Linked DNA regions of Drosophila melanogaster. The protein of the gene in region 3 interacts with the protein of the main gene of each other region in a pairwise test. Each region holds a gene or a part of one and is shown on either strand. Other genes may lie near its edges. The genes, in order: Vsx2, tj and scramb1.

The links.
Region 1: the proteins of scramb1 (region 3) and Vsx2 interact in a two-hybrid assay, tested with the Drosophila melanogaster proteins (one large-scale study listed by BioGRID).
Region 2: the proteins of scramb1 (region 3) and tj interact in a two-hybrid assay, tested with the Drosophila melanogaster proteins (one large-scale study listed by BioGRID).

Annotation. Positions count from the first base shown.
Region 1 is NC_004354.4:5,558,040-5,561,795, reverse strand, and holds the start of Vsx2 (visual system homeobox 2), read left to right. Parts: upstream 1-1,612; 5' UTR 1,613-1,833; coding exon 1,834-2,386; intron 2,387-3,756.
Region 2 is NT_033779.5:19,462,437-19,466,192, reverse strand, and holds the start of tj (traffic jam), read right to left. Parts: upstream 1,927-3,756; 5' UTR 1,438-1,926; coding exon 1-1,437.
Region 3 is NT_037436.4:10,223,500-10,227,255, forward strand, and holds the start of scramb1 (scramblase 1), read right to left. Parts: upstream 1,742-3,756; 5' UTR 1,532-1,741; coding exon 1,361-1,531; intron 739-1,360; coding exon 369-738; intron 1-368.

The DNA.
Region 1 (3,756 bases), on a different chromosome or scaffold from region 3:
ATATGTACATACTTACATACATATATGTATATACATATATATGATCTGTGATTCCGTTTCGTTTCGATCCGCTCCGATTTCGCTGCGATGGCCGTGTGAGCGTTGGCATTTCAATTGTCTAATTGCCGCGTGGGTTTCTCCATAGGCAGAGCTCACTGTGTGGGGGCGTGAGAAAAGCCCCAAAAGACCCGTTTGCCTGCCACTGATCGTGGCTTTCCAATTGCTGGTGTCTTTATTTTCTTTAAATAGAAATCAATGCGTGTATATAGAATATAATCGATGCGTAACAAAATATATTTATATATTTTTTTGAGAATTAAATATCAACACGTTTTTTCTATCTGTGTATGGCCTTTTGTAGGAGATCCCTTTCGGGACCGAGTTAATTGTAAGTCCCTCAATTGCCTAGCAGTAATTTGCAAGTCCATTACAAGCTCTACTTTTCGACTGCTGCCGAAATCAAGCCGAATTATTTTGCCGAATTTCGGGACATTTCTCCGAGAACAATAACCCACATAGCACGACCCCAAAATCTCTTGAAATCCTGCAAAACTGCGCAGCAAGGACTCTCCCACTGGCACACACGCACACACTCATGCACACAGGACGTGGTGTAAATGCTAATTTACGCATTTCAATAGTACAAGTTTTTGGCGAAAATTTTAATTAGACTGCCTTTTTTTTGGGGAAGGGAAAGGCATTGTTAGGCGGCCGACAAGTGAGTAGTTTCTACCAGCTGGAAACCGAATGGTGGCTCGTTTTTTGGGCCATAAATTGGCGTCCTTCATTGAACGGAGAGCGGTTGGAGTTCCGAGTTCGAGTTCGGGTCTGCGAAATAGTTGTTTTCTTGCGCCTTTTTTTGCGCCACCCCAGCCCTGTTGACCATGCCCTCTCCCACTCTTGCGCTCTCTGGCTCTCTTTCACTCACACAAAATGGGCGCCGCACACTGTGGCAATCGGGCACCAATACAACGGCAAGCAGCGCACCAACACTAATGCGTTTCGGTCCGAACTGGAAGTTCGCGGGAAAACTGGAAGGTTACGCGTGTGCGAGAAGAGCACGGCTAGATGGTGCTTGGAAGGCGCTTGCTGCTCTCCTCACTCTAACGGCGAATGGATGTCGCACATGCGCCATGTTGCCGAGGGGAAGGCCCATATGCTGCTGACTCCCTCGCACTCGCTGAGCGGCGAAGAGTGCGGCTAGCGTGCGACAGAGACCGCCCCTGAATATTTACCGTTGCCGGGCAGCGCAGTCGACGCGAGCGTCGCTGTCGGCGCGCTGCTTTTGCCGCCGTTGCCGCCGTTACTGCTGTTGCTGCTGCTGTTGGTGTTGCTGCTGCTGCTGCAAATGTTGCTGCTGCGCTTGCCATGCGATTTGAGGTCCTCGGAAGAGCAAAGCTCCGCTGGCCGTTTACCGTTTGTTAGCTGAATGCCTCCTTGGCCAAATCCAAAGCGAAATGCAAAGCCAAGTCGAAAGCCAACCACCAGCAGCAACATAACGGCAGCAACAGCACGACAGCAACAGCAACAGCAAACAGAAACAGCAACTGCGACGACAAAACTCCTGGTGCACATTAACGCAGGCAACAGTTTAACGTGGAAATTATTGCGAATTTGTTGTGTGTTTTTCTGCGACGCGTGCCAGCGCAAAATCTCAAAACCTCCATTCGCAAATCCCATTTCGCGTAGTCTTTACAACATTGCAAAACTTGCCTTTGCTTTGTTTTTTTTTTTGTTTTCTGGGTTTCTCAATTGGGACTGCATGATGTTTTCAAGCGATTTGTTTTGACAACGGCAATATCTAGACGTAAATCGAAATATTAGCAATCGAAAATGCCGCAGCGTTCGCCATTTGCCATTCAGGAGCTGCTGGGCTTGGCGGTGGCGGCGGCCACAGAAGCGCCAACCGATCTGACGACAACTGCCGGTGCAACGGTGGCAAAAGAGCGCCAAACGCCAACGCCGCCAAAGACAACAAATGCCACAATGGCAACAGCAGCAACATCAGCAGCTACGGCAGCAACACCAACAAATGCGGCCGAAGGCAATTTAACGAGCGTTTCGGAGCCACAGCAGCAGCCGCAGCAGCAGCAACAAGAGCAGCAGCACCACCAGCCGCACCACCATCAGTACAGGGAGCACCACCAAATGACCATGGCGGCCGCCTCGCGAATGGCCTACTTCAATGCCCATGCGGCGGTGGCAGCGGCCTTTATGCCCCACCAACTGGCCGCGGCGGTGCACCATCATCATCAGCATCAGCACCAGCACCATCCACACCACCACCCGCACCACCCACACGGAGCCGTTGGCGGGCCACCGCCGCCGCCGCCGATGCAGCACCACCACCCCCACCATCCGCACCACCCGCTGCTGCACGCGCAGGGTAAGCCAATGTCCCCGCCAGCGAACCACTCAAATTGCAGTTAATTGCAGTTAGTAAAACACAGATATATATATTTTTTTCATTTATGCATATACTGAACATGGGAAAGTTGAAAAGTGCCGTAGCTAACTTACATATATTTCGCTATAGCGATTTTAAAAATCTTTTGTTCGATGTATTTACACTGACAATCAAAGCTTAAACGCAATTAGCAATCGCAACTGGTTTTGTCACCTGCCAGACACACCAACACAGGCGCACATATACACATGCTCAGATACATTTACAGATTCAGATTCAGATACAGATACATTCGATTCACACGCACACGCACACACAGTGGGGCGAATCGGTGTCTGGAGTGCCGCTTAGTTAGCATAAAAAAGGAATTAATCAGCGGTCCATCGTCCGCCAAATCAGCTTTGGCCCCACTGCAAACGACACAACGCCCGCATCCGCACCACCGCTCCACCGATCCGGCAATCCGGCAATCCGCCTCCGAAGCCACTCCAATCCAAAGCACCACCACTCAAGTTGAGCTGCTAATTGCACTGTGTGTGGATGTGTGTGTGTGAGTGTTTGTGTGTGTGTTGCACTCTGGTTTGAGCATAGCAAAAACTGGGCTTCACAATTGTTGCAATAGTTTGGGCACACTAACGACAATAGTTAGTTTTCATATTGTTTAAATAAAATTCTAGAATCAGTGGAAATCCGAATCAATTTATAATAAGCTTGGTATGCTTTTCGAGTAGGTTTTTGGTCGCTTTTGTGCCACTGTAGGTGCGCCTTTGTTTGGCGATCAGCACAGGCAATGAAACACGCACACTGCAAGAAAATCCCACACACTAACAGTGAACTCGAGTCGACCTGCTGTCTCTCTCGATTCAAAGCTCATTTGCAAGTGGCAATATCATACGAAGTTGGAGCGATGACAGTGAAGGCAGATAAACAGAAAGGCATGAAAAGCCGTGCAGGGATTGGATACACGGTAAAAAACTAGGAACTAGTTGCTGGCTGCCAGAAGTAAGCAGTTGATTAACAACATAAGCACTTCAAATTGTTATATTTCTCATTGGATTTGTGAACTATATCTGGAATGGCATTAATAACAAAATCCTGAAGCGTTTAGCCAAATTTCTTTCACTGTGAAAAGTGCGAGGCTCTGCAGATAATCTTGCAGATTCAAGTGGCAGCTGTTATTATTGTTATTATTATTTTAATTAGCGTTGAAATATCATCATCGTCATCACCGATTTCCATTGCTCTGCAACTGATTCACTGTGCCAATTTCACTGCGCACTCACTCAACTTATGTGGATATGTAGATACATATATGAGTAGATTGAATCTGATTTCTTGATTTCAAATCT
Region 2 (3,756 bases), on a different chromosome or scaffold from region 3:
GGCATCCCGCTCCTGGCAGACCCTCGAGTACTCCAGCTTCAGGCGGTGCAGATCCTGGTTGAGCACCCGGTTGGCCTTCTCCAGTTCGTGGCGCTGATGGAGTCGCTTGGACCGGCAGTTCTGGGCATAGCCGCGATTCTTCAGGGTGCGTCGCTTCTGCTTCAGACGCACTACCTCCTCCCGTGGGCAACCATGGAGCCGCTTGTTCAGCTCCCGCACCGTCAACGTGGTCAGCATGTCGTCATTGAGGCAATCCTCCAGCGTGGCATTACTGTAGGCACCCGAACAGGTTCTGGGCGACATGTTGTTCGAGGATCTGGTCGAGCTGGCGGAGAGCGGGCGGCACGGCTGAAGGGCAGCCCGTGTGATGACGCAGGAGCCGCCACCCACGCTGCCGGGTCCACCACTCCCGCTTCCACTGCCTCCTCCGCCTCCGCTGCTGCCACTCCCGTTGCTGGGCACTTGGGGCAGACAGGTGGGCGTCAGGGCACCCGAAGCACTACCGTACGAGTTCGAGTGCATGTTGATGGGCGTCAGTTCCAGATTGTGGAAGTGGTGGTGATGGTGGTGCGGATACTTGCTCTGCTGCAGCATCACCTGGTGGGGATGACCGCCGTGTCCATGCGGATGATGCTGCGCCTGCATCAGCGGCTGTCCGTGATGGTGGTGATGAGCTGCCGCCGCCTGCAGGGCGTAGTCCCGCTGTCTGTCCCACTCCTCCGCCTCCTCCTGGGAGCCCGGATAGGGCAAAGGCCGCAGATCCAGCGGCTGCTGGTCCGCCCGTATCGAGTTGGTCAGCCACATCATGTCATGGCTCAGTCCGGCACTCACCGATGCTGCTCCGGCGGAGGCAGCAGCTGCGGCGGCGGCGGAGGCGGATACGGATACGGAGCTGCCCGGTGTCCTCGCATAGTGGTGTGCGTAAGTCTGAGCCGGACAGCTGCTGCTGCCCGTGGGCGAGCCCACTACTGGTGGCGTTTCCGGCGGCGTTGAGGGCACTCCGCCCGGAACGCCCGCTCCCGAAGATGTGTTCACCAGAATCGCCTGTCCGGGCAGCGGACCATACTGCTCTGGTGGCGGAGAGAGCGGTTGCAGGCGCCGTTCGTCCATGTGCCACTGGTGATGGCCGGAGAAGGACCTCAGCTTGATGTGCGGCGATGGCGAGACCTCCACTGCTCCGGCGGGCTCTGGTCCGGACAGCGGCAGCGAGTCCGGGTCATCGTCCGGATTCGTGGGATCGCCGTGGATTGTCGTCCATTTAACCGCCACCGGCTGCGGTGGACTGTGATCCTCGCGCTTCACATGGCCCAAAGTCGTGACCTGGGACGCGGCACCGGCTCCATGCGATTGGCCAGCTCCATTTCCGCCCACCTCCAGGTGGTGCAGATCAAACTCCTGAACGTACGTGTCGTTTATGGTGGGATCTTCCATTTTCATTGGATCGACCAGGGACCGGAGAGGGTCGATTACGGGTCTCACATGCAAGGGAGTGACCGTGCTGATTGGTGGGTGGTGGTTAGTGGGTGGTTTCAAAGGTCAACTACGCGATCGGGGGTCACGGAACCAGGCACTGGCGCTTTCGGCCTGCGGCTAAGTTTTATCTTGATCTCAGGATTTAGGTTACGTTTTTTTTTGGGGTTACCCCAGAATCTGTTAGATATTTACTTCGATGCCGGTTTCTTAGATTTCGTTGTAAAAGATTGGATTGCTTATTTATGATTTAAAATGTAAGTATGCTTTTATTAAAGCGATCACTATCCGCACTTTGGCGCTTAATTCATTTGTAAGCTCGCTCTCTTTCCAATTTTGCTCACTAATTTCGCGAACGCGCTTTTCGCGTCCAATGTGAAAGAGTTAACGGTGGCGACTGAACTCCGTGTCCGTTTCAACTAAGGTCGGACTGAATCTGACTGGAGGGTGGCTCTGCTCTGGAAGCTCTGCTCTGGATGCTCTGTTCCCTTGATGATAACTGTTAGAATGGCAGCGCAGCGCGCGCACACCCACACACACACACCCATTCCTTTTCCCAACAGCCGACAAACAAAACGACTTGCCAAAACCAAAAAGCCGACCAGCCCAACAACAAACAAAACCGAGCTCGAACGCCATTCGCTGATGCTTTTGCTTTTGGTGCGAGGGAACTCCTGTTGGAAACGTGGAAATGACGGTTCTAGAGGAAGGAAAGAGGCGAAAGGGCGGGGAGGCACTTGTCCGCAAGAGAGAGAGAGTGCCTTTCGTTGTAGTTGTAGTTGTTGTTTGTGCTTTTGCCGGCAGCTGCTGCTCTCGCGCACAACAACAACAAAAGTCAAGCCGGGAAAGCTTCGTAGATTCGATGCACTGCACAGTGGGATAAAAAATTGCAAATATAAAATAATTTCATTCGTACATTTTGACAAGTTTAAGTTGTCTAAATCAAATACAATATTTTATAGCTAAAGGACTAACTTTGAACTTTGAAAAAGCGATTATATTTTGATCTGCTTTAAATGTTACAACACTTGAATATCTATACAAAATTCTATTAATTTCACGTTCTTTTTTAAGTATTTTAAAGAAATTTAGACCTTTTCGTGGAAATTCAATCAATTCTTAGCTAAAATCGCTTCCCTTGACTAACAATCATTCTGGTCAAAGAACATTACTTCACCAATAACAAATATGTTGATGTTGTTAACAGTCTAAAAAAGCGACTTAACAAGCCAGAAAATTGACTGCATTGCCTTATAATTGGACATGGAAAAACATATTTTATGCATTATGCTATATACATTATTATATACTATATACATTATTAAATTTTATATATACTGATGAGCTATTTAATGTTTAAATTTCGGAACATGTAGCACGTAAGTAATGTTTCAGTAAGCCCTTGATACCCAATACCTCGACCACTGTGCAAGAGCACAAATCTATGCTCTGGGATTTCACTTTGTTGGTGGTGGAATGGAACCGTTGGTGTGGCTGCTCTGCTGCTCGGTTTATTGTTTGCGTTTTTGAATTGCCATGGAGCGCATAAAAAATGGCACACATAGACACACAGACACACTTTATGCTGTCGTCGACTCCGCCCACTTTGCCACTGTGTGCGCGTGTGTGTGTCGGTGTGGCTCTCCCCATCTGCGAGTGTGTTGGTGTCTGAATATTTATGAGCAACTACCACGGAAATTCCCGCATAGCCCCATTTGCCGACTTCCAGTCTCATTTGGCTGGCCATCCACACGAAGTCGGTGATGGAGGTGGAGATGGATGTGCCCATATGTACATACATACATATGTATATCCACATAGGAAAGTATATGCAGGAGTGGGTCGCACAAGCACAGGCACATCCATATCCACGTCCACATCCACGTCCACTGTTCCATTTTCCAGTGCATAAGTCAATGGGAGATGTTTTAGCCGAGATAAGTCGCTCGATTTGTTTTGGCTCGTATATAATACACTGCCCACTCCATGGGCATGTGTGTGTTTGCTTGGGCCAAAGGATTCCATGGTGCACAGGTGCATTTTTATGCTGATCCAGCGGAAACGGAGTACAGAACTTAGGAGCCTCCGACGGCCCAACTTGGACACGGGGCGCTCTTGTTTTACTTTAATTTGAACCCCTTTTTTCTGACTTTTTGTTTTGAGCAAATGTTTTGTCTTCGCTGGCCAAACAGATTGCTCTGATGTAATATTGTTGTGGGATATCGAAAGGCTTCTGCTTTGTTTGTGCAACAAGTTCTGGTTCGCCAGGAGGGGTGGGCAGTATGT
Region 3 (3,756 bases):
GCACCCCACTTTGCTTCTGGGGGAACCTTTGTTCTACACCGATCTTGACGAGCTACCTCTATCTGGGACGATGGGTTCAGTGCCTGCACCCGAAGAAATCTTAAGACAACTGATTGGACATTATCTCAATCGCAGGGCAACGACACACCGACACATCACAAAGATGCGATCTTGTTTTGATTCAGCGGTTTGTGTAGTAAAATTATATAAGAAGTAAGCTCAGATATGGAATGAATAATTTTAACAAGGAAGCAGAAAGCGATAAAAGTCTCGTGCCATGATTTGAACACCCTGATTTGTGTAGAAATATGTGAGTCCAACATGTAGAACATTTGTTTTATGTTACAGACTAGTTTTTGATTACTTGCCTGCTGGTCCGCCCTGTGGGGCCATCCCTGGACCCATTCCCGGTCCCATTCCCGGTTGCGTGACAATGGGCTGTTGTGGTTGTCCCGGTGGATAACCGCCGAATGCGTTTGGTGGTCCTCCTGGTCCTGCTGGTCCGGGAGGATATCCGCCGAAGGCCTGGGGCGGTGGTGCTCCTCCTCCGTAGTGTGGCTGTCCACCAGGACCACCTACATAAGGTGGCTGTCCGCCTGGACCACCCGCATAAGGTGGCTGACCACCTGGACCACCCATGTAAGGTGGTTGTCCGGCTCCGTAGGGCGGAGCTTCTCCGTATGGCGGCATTTGGGGAACTGGAGCGTATCCGGCTGGCTGAGGACCTGGCATAAACCCCTGCAACGATCGGGAGTTGATTAAAGAATGAGTTGAATACTTATTTCAGGGGCGTTTCGATTAGTTTTTTGTGCTCTGGCTTGTATTCTTGTAGCTGTACTTATCAGCACTCTGGCACGCAAATGTATGGAGTAAATAAATATTCTATAAGAATGAAAACTTCACGCGGTTGTGCATGAATGATGAGTAATATTTTAAGTTTATCCAAAACTTAATGGAAATAAAACGCTCTTTTGGCATGAGTGAAAAACATAGTGAAAATAGTAAAGCCATAAAAACATTCATACGTAAATGTAAATAAGTAAATGCAAGAGAATTAAGCTTTCGACTTGCTTATCCAGTCTGCATTACTGGTTTTACAGTATGTATGTACATATGGATGTACATTGAGTTCTCAGTTGTTTGTGTTTATCAAACCGCCGATTCCACGGATTCGCGTGCAAATCGAATGAATCTCTTTCATTCCACAGCAAACTGACTGTGTGTCTGTTGATTTATAAATAAGCAAATACCAACTGGCATGACGTCATGGTTGTGTTGTGCTTGTACAAGAAGCACCCTTTACACCACCCACTTTCCCTAGCATTTTCATCGGCTACAGCGGGACACTTTTGGAACTCACGTAATTCGTGGGCGGCGGCGGCTGTGGATGACCGGGTGCGGGGGGATAGGGGGCGTTGTGGCCCCCAGTGGGCGGTGGGTAGCCGAATCCTTCGGCGGGCGGAGCATTTGGCTGGAATCCGGATCCGAAACCGGGTGGGGCGTAACCGCCCTGATTGACGTTACTCTTCATTTCGTGGGATTTCCCCGGATTTTTCCTCTTTTCCTGCTCTTCTTCTGCTCTCCGCGTGCTGCGTTGTTGTTGCACTGGAGGGGAATTGTTGCGGCCACGGCCCCAACGAAATCGCAACAATGTTGTATTTGTTTTGCACGCACTTTCTGTTAAGTACAGTAGTAGTTTCGATAGTAATGCAGTTCGCGAAATCAGGTGGGTTTCGGAGTGTAACCGTGACTGAAGAGCGAAAAAATACCAGCTACACGCTAAATATGCCAAGTTTTTAGCGGACAATTTCTCTGGTTTGAAAGAAGTTAGATAATTCCTAGAATGCATAACTTTAAATACAAAGTTCAGTTATATGAATTAAAATTAACAAATATTAAATATATTTTAAAATTGAATAGATGGCGCCATCAATCTTTTTAACAAAATGTTTACTTGACAATGTAAAAGTCATGTATAAATGAAATGTTTTCATAACAGCATTGCTCTATTATTAGCAGAATACAGCAAGCAAAGACACCATCCAAAATTGAAACGCCCAGTAAAGACTCAAACCTACGAGCTTGTAACTTGGTTTCTTGAAATTTGAATGTGAATCAGTTACATTTAAAAACTAATCTACTACGCTCTGAAATTATTAGTTTATTTAAACGGTATTTATATATTTCCTAAAAAATAAATAAATAATAATATTGTTTTATATACTAAATGCTTAAAGAAAGCGTTTCCCTAACTTTAACATATGCTTATTAAAATAATAAGAATTCGCATAAAGTTACTTATTCAACTAGTTATTATTATTGTTTTCAGCATAATTAAAATTTATGTTTTAGAAGCTATTTAGTAAATAAGGCATTTCCTTTGATTATTAATTTATGTTTTTAAATTGCTTAAATTTACATTTTGTAATATACGTTTTTTCTTGCTTTACTTATACTATAACTATATCAAAAATACAACTGTCCAAATTAAATAGAAACAAAAATCGTATAGTTAAAAAAAAAATGCTGAATAAATCCATTTTGTATGCCACAACTGGCTCAGAGAACAGTCCACATTTTTTCTAATGCGCAAATTTTCATTGAGAGGGTGTGCCTCCCCTACACCTCAAGGGTGCGACAGAGAGGGGCTGCGTGGTAGAAAGGGAGAGAGAGGAATAGAGAGGGCGGCGTAGTTGGCGCGCATAAAAAATGGCGGTTTCCGACGCAAGTAAAACGCAAAAAAAAAAATGATGGAAAAAATGTGGGCAGGGTGAGCGACTGTTGTAAGAGTGAAAGAGACGGGCTGTTGAAATGTGAAAAAAATGCTAAAAACCGTGTATATAGAAAAAAACTGCGAGCAGAATTCCACCCCATGGTCATGGACATCTAGCAGACGTCCCTCACTCACTCACACACACCACGGTAATTACCCATACAAATGCAGCGAGAAATGGAGGAATCGTCATCAGCATTACCGTCATGGTGGAGGACCACCCACACACCGCGCAAAATCACACATTTCGTCCTCGATGCTATAAACTTAGAACCCAATGTCCACTGATATATTTCTATATACTAAATATATTCCTTAAAGGAACACAAAATCCTGCACAATAAAATTTTCACTACGTTTGCGTGATGTTTATTTACAGCTTGACAATTTTAGAACTATTATACGAATGTATAATGGAATATATTATATATTATTAATTGACTTATATAATTTGCCTAAAAGCTATTGTTTCTTTCTGTGCAGGGCGGATTTAGTGGATCTAGAGGGGTCCTGGAGAAGGACTCATCAGGGTCAGGGAAGAAATCCAGAACTGAGCGTTTAATGCGCCATATAACGCAATATTTGTGCTGCTGCTGTGTGGGTGAGTTTAGCACATTCAATTAGTTGACTTTGCAATGGCAGCAAATGCAGAATGCGAAAATAAAACAACCGACTGAGAATTCGCATTCAGAATGGGGACCGGGAACGCGAACATATTTGCGGTTGGCAACCGACCAAAGGCACAAAAGCCGGGCTCAGCAGTGCAGCAGTTGTTGCCAGGCCAGCCCCCTTTTGTGCCACCACCACCTTTTAGCCCCTTTTGGCCCCACCCATGACCTTTGGGCCAGGGCCGTCGCTGAACGGTTCAGTGCAGGAGAGGCTCTCAAAAAATCAGGCAGGCGGCAAGCAGCCAACATAATGCAATGGTAAACAGCCATGCGGGTCCCTACACTGCTACAAAATCCAACATCAATACCAAAGGT